Linked DNA regions of Xenopus tropicalis. Each later gene encodes a partner of the first gene's protein in a complex. Links are inferred from orthologs where the notes say so. Each region holds a gene or a part of one and is shown in the gene's direction. Other genes may lie near its edges.

Region 1 (10,176 bases):
TTTTTTTTGGGCTGCCGGGGTCAGTGACCCCCATTTGAAAGCTGCAAAGAGTCAGAAGAAGACGGCAAATAATACGAAAACTATTAAAGAAAAAAAATGAAGACCAGTTGGAAAATTGCTTAGAATTAGCCATTCTATAACATATTAAAAAGGTATTTGTGCCAAAATGCACCCTTGCATTCCGTATAGTTGCACTTTCGTGCAATGAACTATTTCAAGTATCTTTGAATTATGTTTCTGTTTTCATGTATTTCTACATCCAGTACCCGTCACGTTCATGTGAAAATGAATGTTTGTCTTTCATCCGCAGGGTTTCTTGGTGCCACTCGTGGGCTTGTTATCTTCTCCACGGCCCTCCTCCTGCTTGGCATGGTGTCTGCCTGCTTGTCGTTCAATAACTTATCTGTGGGGAAGATCACTGCGTCCCTTCTGGCAGCCATGTTGAAGATTTTGGCAGGTACTGTTCTGACCTCCCTGCGCACAGGGTTATGTGTTTTATTCATTTGTAAGAATTATTTAGGGGGATTTGTAATGGGTATCTGTGTATAATCACTTGTTCTCCAGCTGTCTTCCCTTGCACCCATATCCCTCCTGTTGTGTTATAATCCCTTTACAAGAAACCAACAAGGTCTATTACTCATATTTCTATAGTGTAACATCCTTATGAATGGAGATGGCCGATAAGTGCCTGAAATCCTGAAGGAGAAGCCCCCTAAGTTGACTTGTATTGTGTACAGAGAGATACCCCCCCCCCCCCCCCCCGTCTCCATGCAGTTTGAGATACAAGTCCCTCACTGTGGCTGCTGAGAATAATCTCTCTTGCATTGCAGGTATCTTCCTTCTCATTGGAATGTCTGTATACACCGGAGAAACTGTCAGTTTTGTCAATAATGGATCCCTTAACTACCAGTGGTCTTTCTACCTCTGTTGGGTTGCAGTTTTTATGCTGTTCATTTCAGGTTAGTTTCTCTTGACTTTCCCTTCACTAGCAGCAAACTGCAATAAACTTGTGGCTGGTTTAGCTGTGAAGATTATGGTGAGATTGCTGGTCTGGATTGTATCACCCCCAGACAAAAGCCACCGAAAGCACACTATCTGACCCCGGGCCCAGGGGAGGGGGGAGGAGGAATTAGCTTGATATTTGGAGACAACCATATTTTCTCCTACAATATATTAGCCTGAATAAGGGTATTGGTGCTACACACAAGTTGTAAGGTATGAAGAGGTATGAGATTGGCATTTTACTCCCACACTACTTCCTGTTACAGTTAGAGCTGCATTATTTCTGGTCATGTGATCTCTGAGGGAACACACAGCCAATCACAAAATGGCGGCTCAAGGGAACGGATGTAAAAGGGAAATATATACTGATATTTATATTCCAGTTTGGCAAAATTCTTTAATAGGTCACTTAACATAATATAAACTATCTGTCGGTTACGTATTCATTCTGGGGGTATTTCGTTTTCCATCTCCATCTGTTTTCCTGCAGGGGCATGTAACATTGTGGCCCACCAAGCCTCACCAACGCCTGGATACGAAGCTGTCTGAACAAGAGCGCCTGCCTCAGAACATCAGGATCCTCAGCCAATCCCATTCCCTGTTTGCTTGATAATGCCAAGGCTAATGAAAGGGCTAATATAGTACAGTTTGTATTAGTGAACAAAGCTCTTATTGCACTTTGGCAAGTTTCAATAAAATATTTTGCATCTCTGTAGTTGCTATTTGTTCATGAGTAAAATTATTTGCCTCACATTATATAGTGAATAACGTACCCTCTATTGTAAAGTATAGGGATATTATAAATCACAGAAGAGATCCATTACCATATAAAAGCACAAGGCCGACGGTAGAGTGCTTTTATACCGGTCATGGAACACCGAGGTGACATAATACCTAAATATTTTTCAGCAGGACATACATTATTTATTATAATCCACAAGTTCCAGTGAGTCATGTGACGGAAATTACACCACTAAGCACCGATTATAACTGATGAAATCACTAAGCGCCATTTATAAGGATATCAAATACAGAATATTCATGACTCTTGTGAATTATATACTGTATATATATATAGCAAGACAGTGAGCCGCACACACAGGGACTTTGTTGGAAAACAAAAAATGTATTTAATGAAAAAATCCAACTTTTCGAGCACCATATATATTATATATATATAATGTCTGCAATGCCCAGAATTGACATCTAGAGAAGGGAGGGAAGGGCCCCCTGGTTTCCTGCATTGCCAAAGGCAGCTCTAAACTAACTCCAGCCCTGGACGAAGCCCAGAATTAATGCGGAGACTGCTGTACCAAGCCAAAAAATAAATATATTTACTTTATATATATATAACAAATACAGGAACAGCCGGCACTCACGGAACAGAAAACAAAAAATGCCTGGGTGCAGAGTTCAAAGGAAAGCGCACAGGAAAAAATAAAAAAAAGCACTCAGGTCTTATGAAGAAACAATAATTTTAATGCAAAAAGGTGAACTAACGTTTCGGCTGTTACATCAGCCTTTGTCAAAGTAACATATATATATACACATATAAACACAGCAAAGGGGAAGCACAATTCTATATAACCAATACCTTTCAATTAAGGATATTTATTGAACAGTTATTGTGCAGCTCTGTGGAATATGTTGGTGTCCTATAATAGTAATTAGAAAACATATGGAAGGTTAAGGCAAAGAGAAGTTGAGGTACATGTAGGTTTGCAGCCAGTTCCATTAGGGCTAAACTGAGCAGAGCCTTATACCTGACACCCAGAGAGGGACATATGGGCCCCATCATATTGATGTAGCCTTTTGCCTGGAGTGAATTTACAGATGGCATTAGCCTGGCCTTTAGTTGGTGAAAATTTGGGGCTCCCCTGTGGACGTCGTGTTCTGCAGTTATCAGGGAAGAGAGATTTATACTGGCTCCTTACTGACCGGCTTTATTTCTGCAGCCAGAGCAGGCTGAGCTCATTGGGACGTCTGTCTGCTTCCAATGTCTCTCACAGTCATAATGCATTTCAGCAGAGATGTCAACCAACCCCACGTCACAATGGAGATAATGATTCAAACCTATCCACAGCTACATAGAACTATAAGTAAAACTATTTAGAATCACCAAATACGTTTCACAGGTGAATTTCCCCTTTGCTGCAATGCAGAGATGACCCCTTGCCACATATAAGGTGCCAATAAATAGATATCATACCTCCCAACATTTTGAAACTAGAAAGAGGGACAAAAACGAATGCTGCGTGCAGTGCAGTGTATTTTTTTGACCATGCCTGTTTTTGCGACCACATCCCCTAAATACCACTCCCATTTGACTACATTTGGCAGGTTATTTAAAGTTTGAGCACATTTCTGGGGGTTTTGGGGTCCTGTTTTATGTGTTATTACAGTTATGCTGAAAAAGGTGAAATTGCCCTTTAAGCTGCGAGTCTCAATTCCCCCAAGAGACCTGTTTAGCTTATTAGTTACAGTTGTATCTCAGTGCAGGTGTGGCTTGTTAACTTTCTGGGCTCCCTGCCAAAAGCTACTTATTTAATTAAGGCTGATGCCACACATGGCGTAGGGCTGATATTTTCGGCAAGCAGAAAAATGCTTGGCGAAAATTCAGCCCTACGCCTGCTACTTGTGCCTGCACCCGAATGAATGGAATACGATCGGGTGCAGGCACATGTAGCCGATATATGCATGAAAATGTGAGACATTCTCACGCGTTTTCATGCATATATCGGCTACATGTGCCTGCACCCGAGCGTATCTCATTCATTCGGGTGCAGGCACAAGTAGCAGGCGTAGGGCTGAATTTTCGCCAAGCGTTTTTCCGCTTGCTGAAAATATCAGCCCTAAGCCTTTCAGCCGCCGAGAGAATTAGAAAATACGCAGTGTAAAAATGCCACGCGTGGCATCAGCCTAACTGCAGGTGACGCTCGTTAAGATTTCTGGGCTCTCTGCCAAAAGCTATTTATTTAATTAAATGTGAGAAACAATGTATCTAACTGCAGGTGACGCTCGTTAAGATTTCTGGCCTCTCTGCCAAAAGCTACTTTTAGGCTAATGTCAGACAAGGCGTAGGGCGGTTATTTTTGGCAAGCGGAAAAACGCTTGCCGAAAATTCCGCCCTACGCCTCCTACATGTGCCTGCACCCGAATGAATGAGATACGCTCAGGTGCAGGCACATATAGTGTAAATACGCATAAAAATGCGAGACTTTCAAACTTGCCAAAAATATCCGCCCTACGCCTCGTCTGGCATTAGCCTTAATTAAGTTTGTATCTTTTTTAGCTTCAGTGCAGGAGATCAAAGGGAAATGAGGGACTTTTCAGTAAGAATCCGGGACTAGGGGTTGAGCTGTCAAAAGAGAGACTGTCCCCCGAAAATCGGGACAGTTGGGAGGTATGGGATATCCTTTGGAATCCCTAAACTAATCTCTGTATCGCTCTTCTTTTCTTATTATTAGGCCCATTAATATGGAGGGGTATAATAGTCCCCACTCAAGTAACCCACAACAACAGACATTTGCTTTCAGGCAATGGATGATTGGTTGCTATGGGTTACTAAGGCAAGAAAAATTTTTGCAACTTTTGTTACTCGACCCACCAAAAGTTACTTTATGTTTGTGGTATAAACTAATATCTACTTATAAATGTATTTTAATGGGTCATTGGTCAGGTCAGGGACAAAGTATCAGTTTCAACACATAACAAAAATCCCGCGACAGCTGGGGCCAACAGTAAACGTTGGGCAGAACCAAGAAGACAACTAGTTAAAAAAAACGTAACTTTAGCGCTATTTTGTCCTTAAAAGACCTTTGGAAAAGCAAGCCCAAATAAAAAATGGCCGCCACGTTATCCGTCTCTAATGACGATTCCTACGCCTGTGCCCTTGAAGGTACGCCCACACACCTTATTGGCTAAGAGTTTTAAACACGTGTTACGCTCTGAAAGCGAACTAGCCAATTGGATACAACTTATACCGGTAATTAGTTGGATTTTGATTGCGATTGGGTATGCCTTGGTGCACACTGATTGGCTGACGACGGAGTCGGTGAGTCTTGATTGGATGTTTTCATGCCTCACTCTCCGAGTCCTTCTGAAACATGGCGCTGCGAGCTTTAGTTGGTGTCAAGAGGGTCATAGACTATGCCGTGAAGGTGAGAACGTTACCGGGGTGCCCTGGCGGCCTGGGGTCGGGGGTGTAACCGGTGTCACTGTGTAACGCCCATTGTGTCTCTGTGTCATGGAATTGGGAGATTGTGTGGCACTAAGTACTTACCTTTGACACTGCCATTGTGTAACAAGGAGTCTCTGTCTGTGGGATTGAGTAGCTGCCTGTGTGGCACTAAATATATATTAATGTGGGTTACTGGGCTGCAGGCAGTCTGTGGCTTTATATGGCAATACCTGGGTAATGATTGTGTGGCACTGAGTGGCTGCCTGTGGCACTGCCATTGTGTGGGGCACAGACAGTATATGGCACTGAGTGGCTGCCTGTGGCACAGACAGTATATGACACTGAGTTGCTGCCTGTGGCACAGACAGTATATGACACTGAGTTGCTGCCTGTGGCACAGACAGTATATGACACTGAGTGGCTGCCTGTGGCACAGACAGTATATGACACTGAGTGGCTGCCTGTGGCACAGACAGTATATGACACTGAGTTGCTGCCTGTGGCACAGACAGTATATGACACTGAGTGGCTGCCTGTGGCACAGACAGTATATGACACTGAGTGGCTGCCTGTGGCACAGACAGTATATGACACTGAGTGGCTGCCTGTGGCACAGACAGTATATGACACTGAGTTGCTGCCTGTGGCACAGACAGTATATGACACTGAGTGGCTGCCTGTGGCACAGACAGTATATGACACTGAGTGGCTGCCTGTGGCACAGACAGTATATGACACTGAGTTGCTGCCTGTGGCACAGACAGTATATGGCACTGAGTGGCTGCCTGTGGCACAGACAGTATATGACACTGAGTGGCTGCCTGTGGCACAGACAGTATATGACACTGAGTGGCTGCCTGTGGCACAGACAGTATATGACACTGAGTGGCTGCCTGTGGCACAGACAGTATATGACACTGAGTGGCTGCCTGTGGCACAGACAGTATATGACACTGAGTGGCTGCCTGTGGCACAGACAGTATATGACACTGAGTGGCTGCCTGTGGCACAGACAGTATATGACACTGAGTGGCTGCCTGTGGCACAGACAGTATATGGCACTGAGTGGCTGCCTGTGGCACAGACAGTATATGACACTGAGTGGCTGCCTGTGGCACAGACAGTATATGACACTGAGTTGCTGCCTGTGGCACAGACGGTATATGGCACTGAGTGGCTGCCTGTGGCACAGACGGTATATGACACTGAGTGGCTGCCTGTGGCACAGACGGTATATGACACTGAGTGGCTGCCTGTGGCACAGACGGTATATGGCACTGAGTGGCTGCCTGTGGCACAGACGGTATATGGCACTGAGTGGCTGCCTGTGGCACAGACGGTATATGGCACTGAGTGGCTGCCTGTGGCACAGACGGTATATGACACTGAGTGGCTGCCTGTGGCACAGACGGTATATGGCACTGAGTGGCTGCCTGTGGCACAGACGGTATATGACACTGAGTGGCTGCCTGTGGCACAGACAGTATATGACACTGAGTGGCTGCCTGTGGCACAGACAGTATATGACACTGAGTGGCTGCCTGTGGCACAGACAGTATATGACACTGAGTGGCTGCCTGTGGCACAGACAGTATATGACACTGAGTGGCTGCCTGTGGCACAGACAGTATATGACACTGAGTGGCTGCCTGTGGCACAGACAGTATATGACACTGAGTGGCTGCCTGTGGCACAGACAGTATATGACACTGAGTGGCTGCCTGTGGCACAGACAGTATATGACACTGAGTGGCTGCCTGTGGCACAGACAGTATATGACACTGAGTGGCTGCCTGTGGCACAGACAGTATATGGCACTGAGTGGCTGCCTGTGGCACAGACAGTATATGGCACTGAGTGGCTGCCTGTGGCACAGACAGTATATGACACTGAGTGGCTGCCTGTGGCACAGACAGTATATGGCACTGAGTGGCTGCCTGTGGCACAGACAGTATATGGCACTGAGTGGCTGCCTGTGGCACAGACAGTATATGGCACTGAGTGGCTGCCTGTGGCACAGACAGTATATGACACTGAGTGGCTGCCTGTGGCACAGACAGTATATGACACTGAGTGGCTGCCTGTGGCACAGACAGTATATGACACTGAGTGGCTGCCTGTGGCACAGACAGTATATGACACTGAGTGGCTGCCTGTGGCACAGACAGTATATGACACTGAGTGGCTGCCTGTGGCACAGACAGTATATGACACCGAGTGGCTGCCTGTGGCACAGACAGTATATGACACCGAGTGGCTGCCTGTGGCACAGACAGTATATGACACCGAGTGGCTGCCTGTGGCACAGACAGTATATGGCACCGAGTGGCTGCCTGTGGCACAGACAGTATATGGCACCGAGTGGCTGCCTGTGGCACAGACAGTATATGGCACCGAGTGGCTGCCTGTGGCACAGACAGTATATGGCACTGAGTGGCCGCCTGTGGCACAGACAGTATATGGCACCGAGTGGCTGCCTGTGGCACAGACAGTATATGACACTGAGTGGCCGCCTGTGGCACAGACAGTATATGGCACTGAGTTGCTGCCTGTGGCACAGACAGTATATGGCACTAGTAGATAGCTGAGTGGTTCTGATTTGCAAACTGTAAGTGGCTCTGAATAGCTGCTTCATATGGCAGTCAGGCCCAGGCTGGCAGTCTGTGGGTCCTGGCTAAAGCCTTGGGCCCGGTGAGCCTGTTTAGCCCTCAGGCACTTACAATACCAGGGTTTATTGTGAGTCTGTCTGTTCATGTTGGCAGTGAGTGTGGGTAAATGCGGCTGTAAGCTTTCTGCATCATCTGCAATGTCAGGAGGTGTTTCAGGTGATCTAATTATCTGCGCAGTAGAGTTGTACAAGTCCAGTTGCTTCAAATTTATTTATACTAGATATACCATGACCTGGATGAATGAAAATCTTCATAGACAGTTGTACTGAGTGTATATGACACTGGTTTGGTATCGGGCAGGCTAAGCCAATTAAGGAGTGTGTGGCACTGGGGGGCGGGCTGGGTGTGGCACTGGGAAGGTATCAGGCAGGCTAAGCCGGGCTGCGTGTGGCACTGGGTAGGTATCAGGCAGGCTAAGCCGGGCTGCGTGTGGCACTGGGTAGGTATCAGGCAGGCTAAGCCGGGCTGCGTGTGGCACTGGGTAGGTATCAGGCAGGCTAAGCCGGGCTGCGTGTGGCACTGGGTAGGTATCAGGCAGGCTAAGCCGGGCTGCGTGTGGCACTGGGTAGGTGTCAGGCAGGCTAAGCCGGGCTGCGTGTGGCACTGGGTAGGTATCAGGCAGGCTAAGCCGGGCTGCGTGTGGCACTGGGTAGGTATCAGGCAGGCTAAGCTGGGCTGGGTGTGGCACTGGGTAGGTATCAGGCAGGCTTAACTGGGCTGTTTGTGGCACTGGGTAGGTATCAGGCAGGCTAAGCCGGGCTGGGTGTGGCACTGGGTAGGTATCAGGCAGGCTAAACTGGGCTGTTTGTGGCACTGGGTAGGTATCAGGCAGGCTAAGCCGGGCTGGGTGTGGCACTGGGTAGGTATCAGGCAGGCTAAGCCGGGCTGCGTGTGGCACTGGGTAGGTATCAGGCAGGCTAAGCCGGGCTGCGTGTGGCACTGGGTAGGTATCAGGCAGGCTAAGCCGGGCTGCGTGTGGCACTGGGTAGGTATCAGGCAGGCTAAGCCGGGCTGCGTGTGGCACTGGGTAGGTATCAGGCAGGCTAAGCCGGGCTGCGTGTGGCACTGGGTAGGTATCGGGTAGGCTAAGCTGGGCTGTGTGGGGCACTGGGTGGCAGGCTGTGTGGGGCACTGGGTGGCAGGCTTCAGTACTACAACTAGGGGTTGGCAGCAGAGCCGGTATTTTGAAAAGGGAAACACAATTCCAAAAAACATGTTTAGTGTTGTATGAAGTAAGTGGCTCATCATTAGACCAACATCCATGGGTCGGTCCCCTCAACTCACACCGACCCTAACCCACCCGCTCCCAGCCTGAACCCTATCCAACCCGGCTTGTACCCTCTGTTTATAGAGCTGCGGCCGACCCACCCACCCGTGATGTCACAAAATGAATGGGGTGGGGTACCTATAAATCAGAGAGCCGAAAGCCAACAGTGTAAGGTTGCGGGTGAGCAGGCAGAAGGGCTCAACCCGAACCCACCCGCGACCTGCAAATGTTGTGCTAAGGTCACCCCCAACCCGCCAGTCCTGTGGGTATGAGCCTGACCCGCACATCACTAGTGCACAGTTAATGCCTGCATACTGTATTAAACAGGACACATCACCCCTATTCTTATCAACTATATCAGTATATTTGAAAAGGTGAAGATAAAGTATTTTTATTATATATTTAGCTTTGTAGGGAAGCTGTGTGGTCACTCCAGCACCCAGCCAAGAAGACAACAGAGGAAGGAGCTGCTAAGTTCGCAGAGAGACTTCTTGCTAGAGAATCCATCTTTGTGTTAATTTAACTTTAATGCCACATTTTATCTTAACATTATTTTTAAAAAAGGTGGCCAGTAGAGGTCACTGTTTGATTAGAGTATTTGTATGAGTTTCTCTCTATAGAGCAATTATTATTATTCAAATAATACAGGGTTATGGGAGATAGCTCAAGTTGATCCAGGGACTGGTCCGATTGCCATCTTGGCAGATGGGGTTTTTTGCCTTCTTCCAGATCAACTAGCAGTTAGGCAGGTTATATATAGGCATTATGGTTGAACTTGATGGATAAAGGTCTTTTTTCAACCTAACTTACTATGTTATTGAACTTTTATAGAAAAGTAGGTTCTGTTGTAAAACGTACTGTATCGCCAGAGGGGTTCAACCCCCTAAAGTCTAGGGCTTTAACAGTGTTCAATAGAAGCTTGCAGTATTCTGATCTTGTTAGGCCATCTTTTTAGTGTCAGCGGCACTGCACTTGCTCTGGGCTGCTGTTGAGAAGCAAAGCTTAGGAGTCGGTGGAAACATGAAGCTGATGCTACAGGGCTAAATTATGATGCAGAA
Region 2 (10,127 bases), on another chromosome or scaffold:
GTTGTATACTTATGTTAAGTAAAAAAGAATAAACATTTTGGGGGGAATTCACAAAGGTGGTGATACTGAGACAAAATAAAAGGGGAGGTATAACCTATATCTCCACTGTGAATTTGTATTTTAAACAGACAGTTTTCAGATTTCAGATTTTGATGATATTTTACCAACATTTTTTATGAATTTGTCTTAGTAAATCTGTTGGTGTGCCATCAAACCCACATTTACATGAACCTTGGAATAAGGATTTTGCATTTTATTTGCCAGTCATTTTACTTGAGGGGCATATCCTGTAGGGGAATTTTAGTTTGCCTTGGAAAACTATCAATGTTTTTCTGCACAAACTGGGCTTTCTAATTTTTTTTACCAAAAAATAAAGAAATTGCAATTTTGCATAATATAGGGATATATATCACAAAAAAATTTTTTATTTTATATTTGTAAATACAACTGATTTAGAAATCTGCATGTTTGGTTAATGTGCCAATACCAAATGTATATGTTAATAAATGTTTTTTACATATGTTTTTTAATGTATATGTTAATAAATGTGTTTTGGAGATAGGAGGTATGTGTCACAAACTCAGTACTAACAAAATTTCAAAATACCAGCACAAAAATCAGAATACTGTACTTCTGGTTCTACAGTCAAAAATCCAGTAGGTTCACCCCAGGAAACTATATATTTTGGAAAGTACAAAAATGGGTAAATGTCTTACTATTCCAAACTACAAAACAACAAAACTTTGCTTCATTTGGGGTCTCAAAATGCCAGCATGCATTTCAATTAGGATCGTGCACACAGTGTCAGACTGGTGTATTTGGGGGCTTATGGGAAGAGCTGAATCAAGGGCACACCCCCTGCAGTTCTCCGCCACCACACTACATCTCTACCCCCCCCAGTGATTACCAGTCAATACCATCCGGCTCACCCACCAACATGCCCAGTGAAAAGAGGCCCAATAAGACCAGGGCCCACCAGGTTTTTTTCCTAGTCCAACCTTGAATTCACAGTACCCCAATATCTCAGTGTGGGTGACAGTGTAAATATGCTGCTTGCTGATCAACAAGATGGCCGCTAGGAACAGAAGGGACACCACTATAGCATCTCTGTAGTTCTGGACATACTATGGGGGCACAGATAAGTTGGGGAAGGTGTCAGTGAGGTGATTAAAGAGGGGTCATTCCTGCTAAAACTAAAAATTTGCCTGGGAGGCTTTACTTATCATTTAAATAAAGATATATACAATAGATCCACTCAAAAAGCTATTTTTGCCTCATTCATTAAGCTAAAACTAACATAATAATGCAAATGTAAGGTAAAATCTTTTTATATACAAGACTATACTATTTTTTATTTAATCAGTGTTTTACTTGTTTGCAATGACAATAACAATAGGCTGCTAATCCCCATTAATATGTTAATGATACCCCAAATGGGGCCCCTACCAGAGGTGAGAAATGAAGACTGTGTGAAACAAAGCAAAATAGAAGAGCTTGGACTCTGACAGAGTTACACTGAACTTTACTCCATTTTGAAAATGTTAAGAAAAAGTGTCATTAAATGTCATTTAAATGTCATTCAAAAGTCATTTAAAAGTCAAATTCACAAAAGTGTCTGTAAACTGTCTTTCTTTCACCAAAAACTGAAAAGTGGCGGTTGAGTCGGAATTTAGGTGGATATCTGTTTGTGAATATGAAGAAAGTTTTTTACACCAGTTTTATCACCACTTTTACTACAAAAAAAGAGCTATCTCCACTTTTGGGAATTCCCCCATTTGCTTTTATTATTTGTATCTGGTCTTTTTAATTTAAGGCCCAGGGGCTGCAAGTCAGACCTGGATTTGTGGCAATGCCACAAAGGACCGGGCCTTGGGTTTCACAAATTGAGGGACGGCATACCGCTCAGCCGCACCTGAAGTTTTGTTACATTCAGAATACTGAGGTCTAGGTGTGCGTCCCCTGTGCTCCAGGTGTAAGAGGAAAGGACTTGAAGGTCCTCAGGGCAGGGGGGGGGGAACAAATCTGGAATCCTTTTTACAAGATAGCACATGTTTGATTTATCTTCTTAATGACCTGTCCCTCCTAACACTTTGCTGGTTTCCCTGGATGTAATCAGTTTTTATATGCTATCATCCCACACAACATTGGTATTGCCACTTTCAAACAGGCACTAATTAATGCAAAACACCAACACCCCCTATAGAGTTCTTGTGCACCTTGCCTAATCTAGCATTTTCCCATAATTATTTTTGGTTTGAGGAAAAGTTCTTCTTACACACAGCAGGCACAGCAAGGCTAACCTCTATATGTAGCAATATGAGAATTTTCACATATACTCGCATATACTACATCAATGACTGCTTTTTTTACTTTGGCAGGGTGACTTTGTTTGATCCTTTAATGACCTCCAGATACCAGTTAGATTCAAAATGGAGTTCAGTGACAGCTCCCTACACTTTGACTTATATATTTTTAAGAATGGTAATAGGTTAGATACTACACTTTTCCGTAAAGCTACAGAAAAACGGATCATAATACCATTCTCTATGCCCAATCCCATCATCCCAAATCCACCTCCAGGTATTGTATTCACAGTTTCTATGGGTGATCAGAAACAACTCGGATCCTTCAAGAGCCCCCAAACAGCTGTTAGAGACGGCTCAGAAAGAGGATCTCACCCGCAACAAACTGCAAACCAGATGGACAGAGTTTTCTACTTATTACAACAAGATTTGCTCTCTTTGAACCCTATCTCTAAACGCAAGGAACCAGCGCTGATTTTTGTAATACTTTTTCCAAAAGTTCTGCCGTCTGTAAGGCTTAAGTTGACAGATGGGAGATTATTCAGACTGATCTTTCACCTTGCCCTTCACCAAAATCACCAAACCATAGTTGAAAACCGGAGGGCCAACAATCTGGGTAATATTCTTATGGTTAAAGATTTCCCTCCTCCACCCAAGCATGGTTTCTGGCTTGGCACCCTGGCAAAACCTAGGTTTTATACATGTCCTGACTGTTTTACATGCAGTGGGGTGGTCCAGGGTTCTACTTTCAACTACCCCCATACTGAGACAAAATTTAAAATCAGACACAGACTGATGTACAAGTACTCATGTGGTATACCTGGTGCCATGTGCTTTAGTATATGTTGGCAAGGCTAGCCCAACATGTGAATGAATGAACAATCACAGGTGTCATATTAGGAGAGCTCTTGGTAGTGGACAAGCCCAACATTCACTGCCCTGATTATGCAACATGATTATTGCTCATGTTCCCCTTCCTACAAGGGGTGGTTATAGGCACCCAGTTCTTCTGAAATTGAAGATCTACTGGATACACAGACTGGGTACTGTTGCACCAGGGGATTTGAATAAACTTCTCTTTCTTCTTTGCTCTGCAAACCTTTTTCCTCATGGTGAGTTTAGAGGCCTGACCTCTAGTGGCTACTATGTTCCAGTTACTTTGTTTATTCTTAGGGTTATACAGACACACATTACCTGAGCTGTGAAAAATACAGTTTAAGTGCAGCTGCTATAACTTAGGCTGTGGTATTTGCAGCTCTACAAACTGCATTTATATGAGGCAAAACCTTTATATTATAAACTTAGGGGGTCAATGTAAAATCAATATACAAATGAAGCAACGTGATTCAGAATCAAGGTAACGCCACTCAATGCTTCAGTATATTAGTGCCATATAGTACGGTAGGAGTAGCTTCCTTGTAGTCACCCAGTCCCCATAAAACTCCTGCCCTCTATGTCTCCCTTGATGCCTCTCAGATCCAGCAGGGGGCAGCAGAGCTCAGCGCTAGCAGCGACTAAGGCAGAAAGGACATCCTTGCTTACGTTTCTATCGAGAGAAAATCGTGACGTGACGTACGTAACTAGCGACAGGGGCTGCGTCTACTTGCAAGAATCAGCAGAGGGCAACATGTCGGCTTTGAAAGTGCAGAGGGTAAGTGTTAGAAATAACTTGTAAATACCACCAGTTGTACCTTGCAGTTTATGCTTATGCGCTGGAGCCGAGCCAAAGAGTTAATGCGCACTCACTAATCGCTTCCTTATATTAAGATAGTAGCGCCGCTGCTGTTCTGTGCTATACCCCATTGCAGAGATTCCCAGCGACACCCGAACGACTAGTTATATACATATATATTGAGTCCATTCACAGCTTGTCTGTATGTCTGACACTGGCTCAGCGTTCAAGGTCAAAGGGGCCCTGTGAGGGCGGAGAGGTGTCGGGGCAGAGTCCAGCCCTGCTCGGATAGCTTTGTATTGCCTGGTCGGTTCGCCAGCCCTACTGGCACCGCAGCTCCCACTTGTACCTTTAGCGGGGCATTGCTGAGAGTTATAGTTCAAAGCGTCTGTAGAACTGGATATTTGTTGACATTTACAGGGGCTTAGCTGCATCCAGGTTTTTTTTTATATGTGACTTTAGGGGTCTTGTGCGCAGAGGCTGATATTTCCAGAACCTCAAGTGTCATTCTGTGGCTACTAAATGCCTTTAAGAAGGGCCTGGATGAGTTCTTGAACAATCAGAATATCCAAGGCTATTGGGATACTAATATCTACAGTTAGTACTAGTGGTTGTATTTATAGTTTATGTATGTGAGTGTATAGATTGGTAGGTGTGGGTTAGGTGTGCTGGGTTTACTTGGATGGGTTGAACTTGAAGGACACTGGTCTTTTTTCAACCCTATGTAACTATGTAACTTTTGCATAAAAACAGTGTGTACAGTAGTGTAGTTATCCCACATACTGCGGTGCAGTTGGCACACGATAAACCATCAACTAGGGCAAGAAGTTTCTTCTATGAGAAAACCCTATACTGACAATGGCCAGAGTAATACAGTATGAAGGAATGAATCTCTCTGTAGTAAAATCAGACTGACTAGCTTCAATAGCCCAGCCTACCTACATCTATACCTGTTCTTGTAGCTCAGTGAAATCGAGTATCTGTGCTGTGTATCATTTTAATATACTCATGTTCTGTCACAATTACACACACATTTCTCTCCAATGTAGTGATATTATCAGTGTACGATTATTGTGGCTGTAGGGCATTAATAGAAGATGGCAATTCTCCAGCAGCTCAGCTGATTAGGGGTCTGTGGTGTGTTATGCCTGCAGGATGGGGAGTATGGAATGTTCCCATCTCTGCGGTTGAACTACTAACCTTTTTATATCAAGGGAGAAAGGAGGTTTGTATCTGGTTTCATTTTATCTTTGATGTAAGCTTTAATCATGCAATGTTATTCTCCCCAGGTGCTTCAGCACATAACAAGGTGTGGGTGGAGAACTCACTCTACTGCTCCTAATGCTGCTGCCGCTGCCTCCTCCCAAGGATCTCTTGGCTTTAACTTCGGTAAGCACTTTAGGAGAACTAAATCTGATGTATCTTACAATGAGTTAGTTTGTGGTAGGAATGGAACCATCTAAACCTGAATTCTAAACATATTAAAAATCTTCACGTGATAAGTATTTTATCAAAAAGAAAAGGGAAACCTTCTTAATTAAATAAAATGTTAGCATTTTGGGGGGGAAACTTATTTACAATTGAAAACTACATCAATATGTAATTAAATAAATGCAAATAAATTCATTTTTTTTTCTACTTTTCATAGTTGCATAAAACAGTATATTCTCAGTGTGTATAAATAAATAAGTCAGGCTGCAGGGTTGTGATACAAGAAAGGAGAGGGATATTAGACCACTGGATCTTTGCAGCTGAGACTAAGCTTAAATCACAGCACTGGAGGAAAGCAGGCTGTCTAGTGTGCCAGGAATAGGCAAGCAGTAATTGTTAGATCATTGAGGGGTGCTGGTGCACCAAAAGATAATGTTTAAAAGCCTACATTAGCATCATTAACAAACCAAAACCACATCCGTGCCCGGGTACATAGAATTGGGGTTCTTTGTATATAGGAAATATTGATGCATGATAAGTTTTTAGTAATTACACAGCTGAGAAAAACAGATCTACTCTCATCTGCAGCTGTGTAGCTCCACAGAGAAGCACTGGGTCAGCCTGAGTGCAGCTACACAGCAGACTTTGGCCTGAAAAAATATGAAACTAGGTATTTTCAGGCTGAAATCTGCTCAGTGGATCTGCACACAGGCTAACCCAATCCCTGTCTATGGCGTTACACTGAGCTTGGGGATAAAAGTGGATCTGCGTTTCTATATTTTTCTTGAAAATGAGTCAGAAAGCAAGTGTGTTGTGAGTTTTTTCCCTTCAGCTTATCTCCCGTTTCTGCACTTCTTAATGTGTTTTTTTTTTCACAAACCCAGCTGAACCAAAGCTGTATCTTGGGTCTGTGAAACGGATAAGTAGGCCATCCCAGTCATGTCACTTACTGGCTGAAATGTGGCAGAAGTGGTACTGTTATCCCTGATGAAAACAATCACTGTTCTGCTTTATTGTTATTAGCAGTGGCTTGTATTGCAGCCCTGTGATTGTGCCCCAAACAGACAGTTTTGAGAGAGGTTTTTCTAAATGTATCCTACTGTTGCAGTCATGGCCTCCCTATTATATACTGGCCTTGTTCGTAGGCCCCTTCATTCACATGCTAAGCCATGTTAGTAAGCAAGGACACACTGTTAGCAGCTTTCTTGTTTCTCTCTGCATAGCCCTTAGTAATAACTGTCTGGGACACACCATATAATTGCAAATAAGTAATCATTATATTGGCATACTTCATTTAATACTAGGGTTTCAATAATATCCAGCTTTTACAATGCATCTTAAAGTGACAGTATATTTAAATTTGCAGTAATGTATATGCCTCCAAAAAATATTGCCTCCGTAGTAAATTTGTCTTATCTTCCCTTTTTCCTTGTAAAAGAACTCAGTGAACAGCAGAAAGAGTTCAAAGCCACTGCACGGAAATTTGCAAGGGAAGAAATCATGCCATTAGCCGCACACTATGATAAGACAGGGGAGGTAATTATTGATTTGTCTACACTATGTTACTAATTATCTAATGCTCCAGTTAATCAATTAACTAGTGAATGTCATTGTTTCTTCCATTTTAGTATCCTGTACCACTCATCAAAAGGGCATGGGAGCTTGGTCTCATGAATGGGCACATCCCTGAAAATTGTGGTAAGCATAGAGAATAATGTCAGTAATGGAATTTATATGCCCAAGCCACATTATAATGTGCCAGCCCCACTACTTGAGGAGAGCACTTCTGGTTGAGAAGTTTGGTGGGTGAAATAGTCCAGTGAATAAGGTGAAGCAACTGATGAGCATCACTGAAATACTGAGACCTTTCATTATATTACAGGTGGCCTGGCCCTTGGGATCTTTGATACCTGTCTAATTACAGAAGAAATAGCTTATGGGTGCACAGGAGTCCAGACAGCCATAGAAGCAAATTCTCTGGGAGTAAGTACTTAGAGCTCACATGGCTCTTCTTGTTTTTCCTGGTTTTATGTACAGATGTGGTAGACTTTCAGTGCATTAGGAAAATATACGTTAATTCATACAATTTTGCAACAACCAACAGCAACGAAATCCAGGATTTGGCCAAGATTGAGCCTTTTTTTTTTTTTTTTTTTACCAGGATTCAGGTTCGGTATTTGGCCATATCTATTATGAAGGATTCAGGGTTTGGCCGAATCCCAAAATAGTAGATTTGGTGCATCCCTAGTTAAGAAATGTAATATTTTTTTTCTTGCCTTTATATCTTTGATAAATACATAACTAGAAAGTCTTTGTTTTCCAGCAAATGCCAGTCATAATAGCAGGGAATGAAGCCCAGAAAAAGAAGTATTTAGGAAGGATGATGGAAGAACCGTTAATGTGTGTAAGTCATTGTTTTGCTACTTAAAGCTTAGGCCGCCAGCCGGTTTATGACTCTAATGGTATCAGACACAGGTGTTATAAATTGACTAAATATATCACACACAACCTACAGAAAATAAACAAAACAAAAGAAAATGTTTAGTCAGCAGGCAAGATTTCAATTAGCTTTATAGTAAATAAAGACAAAATCTCTCCATAAAGGGTTACTAATACCAAATAGTGAAAATAGATTATATCCGCTGGTCCAACATTTTCAAACAAATTACTTAACATTCATATTATAAAAATGGACTTTTGATCACTTAAAAATCCAGCAGAATCCTGCATTGAAATCTGTTTTTTTTTTTTATATTTAAATTTTAAATTTCACATGGGGCTAGCCATATTCTATATGTCCCAGGGTGGAACTGCCATGTAACTTGTGCTCTGATCACACTTTACTGCTGAGCTGCAAGTTGGAGTGATATCACTCCTCTCCCAGCAGCCGATCAGCAGAACAATGGGAAGGTAGCAAGATAGCAGCTCCCAGTAGAATCAGAATAGCACTCAATAGTAAGAAACTCAAGTCCCACTTAAGTGACATGGGAGTAGGAGAAAAAATAGGTTACCTGAAAGCAGAAATGTGTAGCGCTGGCTCCTTCTGAAAGCTTAGACTCCGGCACAATGAGATGGCTGCCTACACACCAATATTACAACTAAAAAAAATACATTTGTTGGTTCAATAATTAAATTTTAAATGGTAGAGCGAATTATTTGCTATGTAAACTGTGTAATTAGAAATTAAAAGTATACCATAAAAATCATGACAGTATCCATTTATCAAATGACTCTCTTGTTTTTTTTAAGAACAAATCCATTATTTTAGAATGTTGCCTATAGCTTCGAATATAGCTCCAAGTAGATGTCCATTAGTGATCAGACTGCAGTAACCCCCATTAATTCTAAATCACTGGTTAACTGCTGCCTTGTATTTTATTCAGGCTTACTGTGTGACTGAGCCAGGAGCTGGTTCTGATGTGGCAGGTCTGAAGACAAGAGCTGAGAAGAAGGGCAATGAGTATATCATAAATGGGCAGAAAATGTGGATTACAAATGGTGGAAAAGCTAACTGGTATAATTGTTATTCAAGATCTACAATTGGTGCAAAAAGGGGCAGCAGAATAATTTCTACTTAAATATTGCTTTATTTCCTGTTCTACAGGTATTTCCTTCTTGCACGCACTAATCCTGACCCCAAAGTTCCTGCTAGTAAAGCTTTCACAGGTTTTATTGTGGAAGCAGATAGTCCTGGAATACAGATTGGCAGAAAGGTGATGAATTCTCTTTTATCCTTTGCTTTACTATTAAGTAACTCCTTGTTGTGCATGATTTTGTTTTGGGTATAAACTCTTAACTCACTAAATTTTTGGACAGCTAACATTTACTTTCCTGTAGTTTACATAATAGCTAAGAAATGTGGAATTGGGGATATTTTGGTGATGAGGTTTGGACCCTTCAAAAGCTTTAACCTTAAATGATAAAATAAAGTAAAATAAAAAGCATTTCCTTAAAAATATAAAACATTTTCTGCCTCATTTACTTTAAAAATCATTTCTACGCACAGTTTGCTAGAAGGTACATGGTTGACTCTGAAGTCAGTTGGAAGAAGGTTCTATGGTGTGATGAAACTAAACTCCATCATAAACACACCATTCCCACTGTGGAGCATGGTGGAGGTAGCTGTTTGTAAGCTTCTCTGAAGCATTCCATGTAAGGCTTGTAAAGGTGGCGAAGCAAGTGGATCTTCTCCCAATATTCCCACCTACGGGTTGGCAATATTGGGCTAATTCAAATTAGAATGGCTGGTAGGGGCGCCTTTTGGTTTGGGTACCACAGCAATGAGCTGATGCAGTCCCCGATCCTACAGGAAAATTAAACCTGCCTGATCAAGAAAAAAATCCACTGTTGTTCAATTTTCTATGACAAAACATGAAAACGTCCAAGAGGCTGAATACTTTTTATAATAGCTCTATAAAAGTGTCAGGATAGTTATTTCAGGGGATTACATAGGCATTTTATAATGGCTGATACATCTGCTGCTGTTTGTGTCTTTCATTCAGTTACATTACAATGTTCTGCAAAACACCTAACATTATTTTGGGTTGGAATTCAGGAGATGAACATGGGACAGCGCTGCTCAGATACAAGAGGGATTGTGTTTGAGGATGTAAGAGTTCCAGCTGAAAATGTCTTGATTGGAGAAGGAGCCGGTTTTAAGATTGCAATGGGCGCTTTTGATAAAACCAGACCCCCAGTAAGAACCCTAATTGCTATTTGTA
Region 3 (10,225 bases), on another chromosome or scaffold:
GATCCTTAAGTGTGTACATAAAAAATGCAGCCCTGGTATTTATTCTTGGGTTGCTCTAGGTTAGAAAATACAGTGATTCATAGCAGGGCCGCCATCAGGGGGGCACAGGGGGGACAGTTGTCCCGGGCCCGGGCGTTTAAAGGGGGCCTGGCCGTGCTAGAGTTTTTCTTTTACCTCGGGCCCCCTTCACTCAACTCCGGGCCCTGTTACTTCCATTGCCGGCGTCCGCTGTTATGTCCCAAGCTCCCCGCTACATGTGCGCTTTTATAAAGTTGCGCCCTGTGCTCACTGACATAACACGCACGGGGCGCAACCCTATAAAAGCACACATGTAGCAGGGAGCTCGGGACGTAGTGGAAGATACAAATGAAGCTGGAGTTGACACAGGTGAGGAGCCGGAGGAAGCAGAAGGATGCTGGCGGCGGCGGCAGTAGAGGACTGGAGGATACTTGGGGGGGCTCTGGGGAAGGTGGAGGATGCTTGGGGGGACCCTGGGGGAAGGTGGAGGATGCTTGGGGGGGCCATGGGGGAAGGTGGAGGATGCTTGGGGGGACCCTGGGGGAAGGTGGAGGATGCTTGGGGGGACCCTGGAGGAAGGTGGAGGATGCTTGGGTGGGCCCTGGGGGAAGGTGGAGGATGCTTGGGTGGGCCCTGGGGAAAGGTAGAGGATGCTTGGGGGGGCCCTGGGGGAAGGTGGAGGATGCATGGGGGGGCCCTGGGGGAAGGTGGAGGATGCTTGGGGGGGAGCTTGGAAGAAGCAGCAGGATGTTGGGTGGGGGGAGCTGAAGGATGCTTAGGGGGCCCTGGAAGAAGCAGGAGGATTCTGGGGGGGGGGAGCGTCAAGAAGCAGCAGGGAGCGGGCCATTGTATGGGAACACTGGGGGAGGACCACAATGTTTTAGGGGGCCCTGGGCTGGCTAGCAATGTTTTAGTGGGTCCCTGCCCTGGCACTAATGCAAAATGTAACCCTTGGCCACAAATGTTTTAGGGGGGCCCTGGCTACCAATGTTTTAGGGGGCCCTCGCTACCAGTGCTTGTGTATCCCTTGTATTGATGGGAGGGCCAGTGGGAGGGTGGGGCCCAGAAAATTTTGTTGTGAGGGGCCCCGTGATTTCTGATGGCGGCCCTGATTCATAGGGAGGTATTCAATATTGCTTAAACTGTTTAAGATTCAAAGAACTTGTGGCCCCATTGTTTAATCTCTTATGTGCCATGCCTTGCAGTAACTTATTAAACTTTGCCATAAAATAAATCAAAATGCCTATTATTTTATACTACATTATTAATTTTTCTATTTATGAATTCTTGATTTGTTTTCGAAATCAAACCTTATTTGTGCTGCACTGAGTATATCATTAACATTATTATATCTACATTATTTTTCCAACCCATGGTGATAAAAAAATGATTTTAAAGAAAGTGCAGCATTACTTATTTGCATAAAATACAAAAATAAATACTGGGTTATCTGGAATAATCCATAGTTTTGATTTCCTGACTGAGATTTGTAGGGTGTGTACAGATACTGATTGTTAGATATCTGACGCTATTGGTAACAAGATGAGCTTCCATCTGTTCACCTCATAATGGATTTAATCCATGACCCCATCTGCACTCAGAGTTCTCATATTCTAAAGAAAAGATTATATTCTCACCCCAAACTGCTGCTAGCTACACATATTAGGTTGCCTTTTGGTTGGACACTTTTTCACAGATACAATGTGCATCTAGTGTTTTATTATTCTTTTACTTGTTCAACAGGGTGGTGGGGGTTATCGTGCCTTTGCACCCCAATCACAATGAACATATATCTGTAGCTGCACTGTACATTTCCACAATTCCTACAGAGTGTCTGACTTATTCTGTTGTAGGAACTTTCAAGGTATATGTTGATTGTATGACCACTCTCTATATGTTAGTTGAGAGTATAAATGGGGTGCATGAAGAGACATCTGCTACTTGCTAAGAGATATTATTTTCTCCTGTTAAGAAAGAAAGGTCATTTTAAGGAACTGCAAATAAGACTACTAGCTGTATCTTTATCATTAGCCATTTGTATTTCATTTAATAACCAACATAGTGGACGCATGCCTGATTTCCCAAGATCAGATTTTGCTACATACCCTGCATGACTACTTTTGCACCTAAAGAAGTATACATAATTTGGCTACCATTTATTATAACATTTCTTTTACTACTCCACCTAACATCTAGATTATATTGTTATTCTGTACCCCCTCCCCATTACCCTTTTCTACTGTGCATAACCATTATGGATAACCAATTTTTAATTATTCAGTTACTTGCACCTTAGATTTCTCAAAAGATGTGTAAAGAGCTCGACTACACTGTTGGTGAGTAATATTCCACATGCACCAATAAGTAATTGTTTGACTGAATTTCCAATCTAAACATCCATTAGAAGTTGGCCCTTACCTACAAGTGATGGTTATTTTAACATACCTGTTACTTGTGAGATCGTATCTAGTAGAACAATGTCAGCATAAACCTTCCTGGTTATTTCATCCTTGTTAAAAGCACACTGCTTTGGGGGAATAGTGGGCAGGAAACAGTATGACATTGCTGGATAACACTGACAATTGCACATTCTGAAGGGGTTAATCATGTTTTCTAGGTGTGTATAAATTTGGTGTGTGTTGTTAACATAATATCAGAAAGCACGGTAGCATGTGAGCAAGCTATTATAAGTGGCATCCACTGTATTTATAACCTGCATATTGTCCTGTATTTTCTTTCTCAAATAAATTCAATACATGCATTCTAAATCTGAGTGGTTTTGTGTCCAATAAAGGCATCACTAATAAACAGGTGTAGTATTTGTTGTTTTCAATATAGCATGTTAAGAGTGCCTCTTTGATTTGATATATCCTCTAATAAACCACTTGTATTTGCACTTCAAAACGTTTCAGTGTTACCCTAGATCAGTAATCCCCAACCAGTGTTGCTCACCACCCCCTTTAATGTTGCTCCCAGTGGCCTCAAATAAGGTGCCAATTTTTATATTTTTGGCTTGGGGACCAGGTTTGGAAGCACAAAGACACTGTTTTATTACAAGCAGAGCCTCCAGCAGGCTAGCAGCCCACATGAAGCTACCAAATAGCCAATCACAGTTTTTATTTGGCATCCCCAAAAAACATGTTTTGTGCTTGTGTGCAGGGCCGGAATTAGGGGTAGGTAAAAGAGGCACCTGCCTAGGGAGGGCGTTAGGCAGGTACCTCTTCTGGCTACCCCTAGTCCAGCATCGCTTACCCCTGGCTTTCCTTTTCACCGTGCTACCCTCTCTGTCCACAACATCACGGCGGACACGTGCATGTGCATATGCACATGGGTGGGGATGGAGGGGAGCAAGGTGGCTGACTGGGTTGCCTAGGCACCCGACCAGCTTGGCTCACCAATACGTTTTACATTTGAGTGTTCCTCAAGAGTAAAAAAAAGTTCCCTGGCCTAAATACAGGTATGGGATCCCTTATCCGAAAACCTGTTATCCAGAAAGTCCCGAATTACGGAAAGCCCGTCTCCCATATACTCCATTATAAGTAAGTAATTCTAATTTTTAAAAACGATTTCCTTTTTTTTTTAAATAATAAAACAGTACCTTGTACTTGATCCCAACGAAGATGTAATTAATCCTTATTGGAGGCAAATCAAGCCTATTGGGTTTATTCAATATTTAAATGATTTTTAACAGACTTAAGTTATTGAGGCCTAAATTACAGAAGTAGCCCTTATCCGGAAAATCCCAAGGCCCGAGCATTCGGCATAACAGGTCCCATACCTGTACTAAGGAGTCAGCAGTATATTAAACTTGCAATATGTGATGGAATTCTCAACTCCAATCCTGCACTCGGTGCATCCATAAGGTAAAATCCCTGCTATTACTTAACAGACCTGTGTTAATAAAAGGGTATAAGAGACAATGATAGGAGCACTAGGAATTACACGCTCCGTCAAAAGACATATTTAAAGTAAGCCATGTTTTTCAGCTGACTACTACACTAATATCGTCAGAACCAGCAGTGCAGAAAATATCAGTGAAACAGACAGCTAATGCTTTCAGCGACAATTACAAATATGTTATGACTCTATACTGGAAAGCTTAGAACGTTCCCCTACTTAGAACTGTAATATGTAAGTTGGAAATACTTCCAGCCTGCGCCTTTATCTCGCTCACAAGGTAACTAAGTATTTGACGTCATTATTCCGCGCCGCCTGCTGCCTGAGTCGCTTGCTGAAGGTGTCAGAGGCCGGGTCACCTTTGTGTCTGTCCAAGAGTTCAGCATGTACCGAGCACTGAGTACCGGGAGGCAGAAGGGGGTGAGTTGTTTTCGGTTTCCTCTAGCTGAAGTAGCAGGGTGTGTTGGCTTGCCGCAGTTACGGGGTGGTGATAGGAGGGGGGAGTAAATGACATAACAATAATTGCTATAGATATGGATGCATTATATAATATATTTACACTCACTGTCACGATAAAAGTTCTTTACTCATACGTGAGCACTCCGTAATAAGTGTAGTAGAGTCCTAACATGATGCGGTAGGGCACTTCTCTTTAGCAGCACAATAAAGCTGTACTCTTCTACTTTTCCCTGCAGACTCCATCTCTGCGCAGGTTCCTTAGTGCCCTGGTTATTGCAGAGCATGACACCCAACAGGTGACACCGGTCACTCTCAGCGCCATAACTGCAGCCAAGCGACTTGGGGCAGATGTATCCTGTTTGGTGGCAGGGACCAACTGCAGTAAGGTAAGTTCAGTCATTTGTTTATTCTCAGCCACTGCTGGGATGTCACATGTACAAGGGAAATACCAGATAGAATCTTAATTGCCCATTCTGCTATGCTTTCTTTTCTACTATACAGCCTCTCTACTATGCTTCACCTTTATGGCTCTCTCTGCTTTATCTTCCCTCTGGCTATGGATCTTCCTACTTTCTCTCACCTTTCCATTAGTGTGTTAGTGTCCTCTGTCTCACCTCTGTGTTAGTGTGCTTGTGCCCAGTGTCTCCCCTCTCCAGCAGTGTGCTTGTGCCCAGTGTCTCTTCTCTCCAGTAGTGTGCTTGTGCCCAGTGTCTCCCCTCTCCAGCAGTGTGCTTGTGCCCAGTGTCTCTTCTCTCCAGCAGTGTGCTTGTGCCCAGTGTCTCGCCTCTCCAGTAGTGTGCTTGTGCCCTGTGTCTCCCCTCTCCAGTAGTGTGCTTGTGCCCTGTGTCTCCCCTCTCCAGTAGTGTGCTTGTGCCCTGTGTCTCGCCTCTCCAGGAGTGTGCTTGTGCCCTGTGTCTCTCCTCTCCAGTAGTGTGCTTGTGCCCAGTGTCTCTCCTCTCCAGTAGTGTGCTTGTGCCCTGTGTCTCGCCTCTCCAGGAGTGTGCTTGTGCCCTGTGTCTCCCCTCTCCAGTAGTGTGCTTGTGCCCTGTGTCTCGCCTCTCCAGGAGTGTGCTTGTGCCCTGTGTCTCTCCTCTCCAGTAGTGTGCTTGTGCCCTGTGTCTCGCCTCTCCAGTAGTGTGCTTGTGCCTTGTGTCCCTCCTCTCCAGTAGTGTGCTTGTGCCCTGTGTCTCTCCTCTCCAGTAGTGTGCTTGTGCCCAGTGTCTCGCCTCTCCAGGAGTGTGCTTGTGCCCTGTGTCTCTCCAGTAGTGTGCTTGTGCCCAGTGTCTCTCCTCTCCAGTAGTGTGCTTGTGCCCAGTGTCTCGCCTCTCCAGGAGTGTGCTTGTGCCCAGTGTCTCTCCTCTCCAGTAGTGTGCTTGTGCCCTGTGTCTCTCCTCTCCAGTAGTGTGCTTTTGCCCTGTGTCTCTCCTCTCCAGTAGTGTGCTTGTGCCCTGTGTCTCGCCTCTCCAGGAGTGTGCTTGTGCCCTGTGTCTCTCCTCTCCAGTAGTGTGCTTGTGCCCAGTGTCTCGCCTCTCCAGGAGTGTGCTTGTGCCCTGTGACTCTCCTCTCCAGTAGTGTGCTTGTGCCCTGTGTCTCTCCTCTCCAGTAGTGTGCTTGTGCCCTGTGTCTCTCCTCTCCAGTAGTGTGCTTGTGCCCTGTGTCTCTCCTCTCCAGTAGTGTGCTTGTACCCTGTGTCTCTCCTCTCCAGTAATGTGCTTGTGCCCTTCGTCTCTCCTCTCCAGTAGTGTGCTTGTGCCCTGTGTCTCTCCTCTCCAGCAGTGTGCTTGTGCCCTGCGTCTCGCCTCTCCAATAGTGTGCTTGTGCCCTGCGTCTCGCCTCTCCAATAGTTTGCTTGTGTCCTGTGTCTCACTTTTCAATAGTGTGCTTACGTCTTTCCTCTTTATTAGTGAGCTTACATCATGTGTCTTAATTTTCGCCACCCTGGGGCATCCCTGCTTTGCTGCCCTTTAGCCCCAATGGGGGTCTCTTTGCTGTTTCTCCCCCTTTCAATGAATAGGTTTAACTACTTTATAGCCTTTCTATCTTGAGGGCCTCCCTGCTCTCTCTCCCCACTCAGCAAAGAATGATGTGTTTATGTGTTGTCTCCCAACACTAGTGGGTCTCCTTGTGTTTTCTGTCCTTATATGGCGGGTTCGTCCTGCTGTTTTTCTGCTCTCTGATTCCTGAAGCCATTCCCTGGTTTGTCATGTTTCTGTTGGGCCCAACGTCTCCACCAGGATTTTTTTCCAGTTGTGTTTCCCCTCTCTGCTTGTTGTTCACCTTACTGTGTTTCCCCCTTTCTACTAGAGAATCTCCCAGTGATATTACACCTCCTTGTTATGGATTTCTCTCTTCCTTGTTTTTTATTTACATTTAGGGGTTTCTTTGCTCTAGGATCCCTCTTTAATCTCTTTTGTGAAAGCTAGGAAGTTTTGATGTTTTCATTTTTCTACATTGGCTATGTCCATCCTGCTCCAAAAAATGCAAGCCAGATTGGATGCAAGGATGTAAATGTAGCTAATCATTCTCCAGTGATTGTGATTATTAGTAGACCTAAGTTGTTTGATCATTCTATCTTGTTACTTTACACATAATCATAATGTCAAGGCATGTATTTAATTTGATGTCACCACCTTGATGTTGCTACATCTAATGTTGGCTAGGATGTGTTAATTCAAGTTGTCTAAAATAGCTTGCGATTATGCTTTTGGGCAGACACATGAACTGTTTCTTGAAAATTCTACTTACTTTATTTTTGAGCAGTAGTCACGTCTCGCATAAGCTTAATTAATATTGCAAATAAAGGAACAATTTGTAGACATGGGTTCTAGATTTTTGTCTGTACTTAGATCATGTCCTGATTATGTTTATGGTCTCAGGTAGCAGAGGAGCTGGCAAAGGTACAGGGAGTGTCAAAACTGTTCGTAGCACAGCATGAATCATACAAGGGATTTTTACCAGGTAAGGGTCCCAGGGATTTTTACCAGGTAAGGGTCCCAGGGATTTTTACTGACTGTGACTGTCAACTTTTTTTTTTCCTGTATGTGTGGCCAAACTCTTGACTCTCTACAATTACATTTATTTTACCATCTATTTTCCTTTTCCTAATGAAAAATTAGCTAGTTACTAATTATAAATACCTTTTGTTTTCTTTAACCATTCCTAACAAACTTTCCTTCACCATTCCTAACTAACTCAGTATGCTGCCTGTACTCAAAGAAAAACAAATAATTGGAACAAATGGAGGAACAGTTAAAGGTTACAAATGATGGTAGAATATTTAACTTTGCAAAACAACAGTCCCTTAGCGCAGTGGGACAGCGATTGCCATGGTGTGGTTAGATCCATTGCTAAAAATCAATACCTTTTTGTGTAGAGAGCCATGTAATCTGTTGCCAATCAGTAAATACAAACTTCTAATATTTGGTTGCTTTGTTGTATTATTCATGCTCAACATTGGGGTTTAGCAGTGTTGATTAAGCTCAGTCTATCTTAACCGGATTAAGTTTGTTGGAGAGCTGTGGGTTGGGCCATAAACTATGCTCATTCTCAATGATTTAATTTATTATTATTCTTTAAACACAGCACTCTACAGAGAATGTTCATAATTTAAGCCCTAGTGGAGCTTACAAACTAAGGTTTCAGGCAAATTCAAAAACTGGACTAGGGTCCTTATGTTAAGAGCTAATTAACCCTTTTATGTTTTTGAAGTGCTAATGGAAAACACAGTACATACAGAAAATCCTCAACACAAGGGAAACATACAAGCACCTTGCAGATTGTCTTTTAGGTTGAAACTTAAAACTTTGTACCCCTTTCTTGGCAGTACAGGTATAGACCCATTATCCAGAATGCTCGGGACCAAGGGTATTCTGGATAAGGGGTCTTTCTGTAACTTGGATCTCCATACCTTAAGTCTACTAAAAAATCAATAAAACATTAATTAAACCCAACAGGATTGTTTTGTATCCAATAAGGATTATTTATATCTTAGTCGGGATCAATTACAAGGTACTGTTTTATTACTACAGAGAAAACAAATCATTTTAAAATTCTGAATCATGTGATTAAAATGGAGTCTATGGGAGACGGGTTTTCTGTAATTCAGAGCTTTCTGGATAAGGAATCCCATACCTGTATTGCCTAAATCCAGCTGCTTTCAGGCAAAATACATCGCAGTAGGTAGAGGAAGGGACCAGAAGTGGCTAAACTTTAACTCTCAACACACAAACAATAAAGGAAGCTAGTAGTACTTGAATTATTTAAATGATTTAATAGTGGAAAGCAGCAAATACTTTTCAATACATTCAATATTTTGGGTAAACTGGCATACACCCTGAGTTCTCTTTGGGCTTGCCCATATACATTGCAGTTATTGTCTCCAAGTATCTCATGCTGCGTAAGGCATTACACACACAGTCCCTGTCCACTGTAGTCCCTACACATGGGGAGTGCTCTCTTCAGTTTTACTTCAATCTCACCACACCACTATCTCAACAGTGTGCTACTATAGGATTTGCTATCCACTCTCCCCTTGTTCACAGGGTCCTATTCCTGACTTCACTAAGGGATTTCACTTCCCTAAGGGCACTAAGCTTCATCCTGGGGCCTTTGCTCCAGGAACCTACATACATCACCAGCACCAGATGGAGTTTAAAGAGCAAGAGCCATGTTTTTCCTTCATCCTTATGAAAATATGGGCAGAAACAATTTGCACTACCCCATGACCTTTAGGTACACAAACCCTTCCCTAGGGCTTAAAGGTCCCCATACACGGGCCGACTATAGCTGCCGATATCGGTCCCTTGGACCGATTAGGCAGCTAATCGGTCCGTGTATGGGCAGAACAGAGCGGCCTAGCCAACCGATATCTGGCCTGAAATTGGCCAGATCTCGATCGGCCAGGTTAGAAAATCCAGTCGGATCGGGGACCGAATCGGCTCGTTGATGCGGTCCCCGAACTGACCGCCCCATAACCACAAATGTAATCCGATCGTTTGGCCCTAGGGCCAAACTATCGGATTATTTTTTTTTAAGTTACTTGCTACCCGATATCGCCCACCCGTAGGTGGGGATATCGGGTGAAGATCCACTCGCTTGGCCACATCGCCAAGCGAGCGGATCTTATAGTGTATGAGCACCTTAAGTCAGAGTCAGTCAGAGTTAATGGGACTTCCCGAGTTAGTAGGGGACTTGTGTAACCTACAACTGAATCACAAGTGTGGGTTATGCTGCCTGTCATACATTTCTATAGTATATACTAAAAGAGCTTTATTTGTGCATAACATTTTATTGATGTGTATAGATTTTGCATATTTTTTCACAGGAGCCCACTGTCAATTTTTTTCTATTTCCCCAAAATAAAATTTGCAATGTAAAATCCATTTATAAGTGAAGAGGTTGCATGATAAAAAAATTGGCCCTTTGGTTTTTCAATTTTTGAACTCCAGACTCAAATTCTATTCATACAAAGTATAAATTCATATAAAGTAGCCTTTAAGATAACTTAGAATGTCTTGTCTGGTTGCTTTGGTAGTCGCCTTCAGCATACATGCAATGTTCATGCGCAAGCATAGGTTTGCAGAATTAGCATGCATAATTGGTCTAGCTTGTCAGGCAGAGGCGGCCTTTTTTATCATTTTGTGTGTCTAGATTTCTGCCCTTTACTGGAGGTCATAGCTGCATGCTTGCAAGTATACTTGGTGATTCTGCAATTTTCATCTCTACCTTTCTTATTCTTGCCTCTTGTATTTGTCTTTGTTGTGAAATATATGGATTTGAATTGAACTTTGTAATATGTCTGCCTAGACCAGTTTTTCTCAGTGTTGTGTTTTTATTATATAGTAGCCTGTTT

What was found.
Region 2: the proteins of etfb (region 1) and acadm are in contact, whole or in part, in a crystal structure (PDB 2A1T), measured with the Homo sapiens proteins. The link is inferred for Xenopus tropicalis from reciprocal best matches to the Homo sapiens genes ETFB and ACADM. Residues at the interface, in NP_001976.1 of Homo sapiens: Glu73, Arg76, Thr77, Tyr192, Ala193, Thr194, Leu195, Pro196, Ile198, Met199, Lys202; in NP_000007.1 of Homo sapiens: Glu43, Gln44, Lys46, Glu47, Phe48, Thr51, Lys54, Phe55, Glu58, Glu59, Arg80, Glu83, Leu84, Gly85, Leu86, Leu98, Leu100, Ile108.
Region 3: the proteins of etfb (region 1) and etfa are in contact, whole or in part, in a crystal structure (PDB 2A1U), measured with the Homo sapiens proteins. The link is inferred for Xenopus tropicalis from reciprocal best matches to the Homo sapiens genes ETFB and ETFA. Residues at the interface, in NP_001976.1 of Homo sapiens: Ile14, Tyr16, Val18, Ile20, Val22, Val29, Thr31, Phe41, Leu102, Arg106, Lys124, Gln125, Ile127, Asp128, Asp129, Asp130, Cys131, Asn132, Gln133, Gln136, Met137, Ala139, Gly140, Phe141, Asp143, Trp144, Pro145, Gln146, Thr148, Phe149; in NP_000117.1 of Homo sapiens: Glu27, Leu88, Pro89, Glu90, Ser113, Ala114, Phe115, Lys117, Asn118, Pro121, Arg122, Ala124, Ala125, Lys126, Glu128, Val129, Ala130, Pro131, Ile132, Ser133, Arg146, Thr147, Ile148, Tyr149, Ala150, Gly151, Asn152, Ala153, Leu154, Cys155.

What each region holds. Positions count from the first base shown.
Region 1 is NC_030683.2:122,442,340-122,452,515, reverse strand, and holds the start of etfb (electron transfer flavoprotein subunit beta), read left to right. Parts: upstream 1-5,101; 5' UTR 5,102-5,108; coding exon 5,109-5,162; intron 5,163-10,176. Other genes in the region: protein NKG7, read left to right, coding at 311-457, 831-959, 1,493-1,551. UniProt on the Homo sapiens protein: Heterodimeric electron transfer flavoprotein that accepts electrons from several mitochondrial dehydrogenases, including acyl-CoA dehydrogenases, glutaryl-CoA and sarcosine dehydrogenase.
Region 2 is NC_030680.2:81,042,149-81,052,275, reverse strand, and holds the start of acadm (medium-chain specific acyl-CoA dehydrogenase, mitochondrial), read left to right. Parts: upstream 1-3,840; 5' UTR 3,841-3,930; coding exon 3,931-3,954; intron 3,955-5,264; coding exon 5,265-5,364; intron 5,365-6,844; coding exon 6,845-6,942; intron 6,943-7,034; coding exon 7,035-7,104; intron 7,105-7,288; coding exon 7,289-7,389; intron 7,390-7,729; coding exon 7,730-7,810; intron 7,811-8,789; coding exon 8,790-8,920; intron 8,921-9,010; coding exon 9,011-9,119; intron 9,120-9,961; coding exon 9,962-10,102; intron 10,103-10,127. UniProt on the Homo sapiens protein: Medium-chain specific acyl-CoA dehydrogenase is one of the acyl-CoA dehydrogenases that catalyze the first step of mitochondrial fatty acid beta-oxidation, an aerobic process breaking down fatty acids into acetyl-CoA and allowing the production of energy from fats.
Region 3 is NC_030679.2:90,217,569-90,227,793, reverse strand, and holds the start of etfa (electron transfer flavoprotein subunit alpha, mitochondrial), read left to right. Parts: upstream 1-4,293; 5' UTR 4,294-4,299; coding exon 4,300-4,335; intron 4,336-4,610; coding exon 4,611-4,760; intron 4,761-7,250; coding exon 7,251-7,332; intron 7,333-10,225. UniProt on the Homo sapiens protein: Heterodimeric electron transfer flavoprotein that accepts electrons from several mitochondrial dehydrogenases, including acyl-CoA dehydrogenases, glutaryl-CoA and sarcosine dehydrogenase.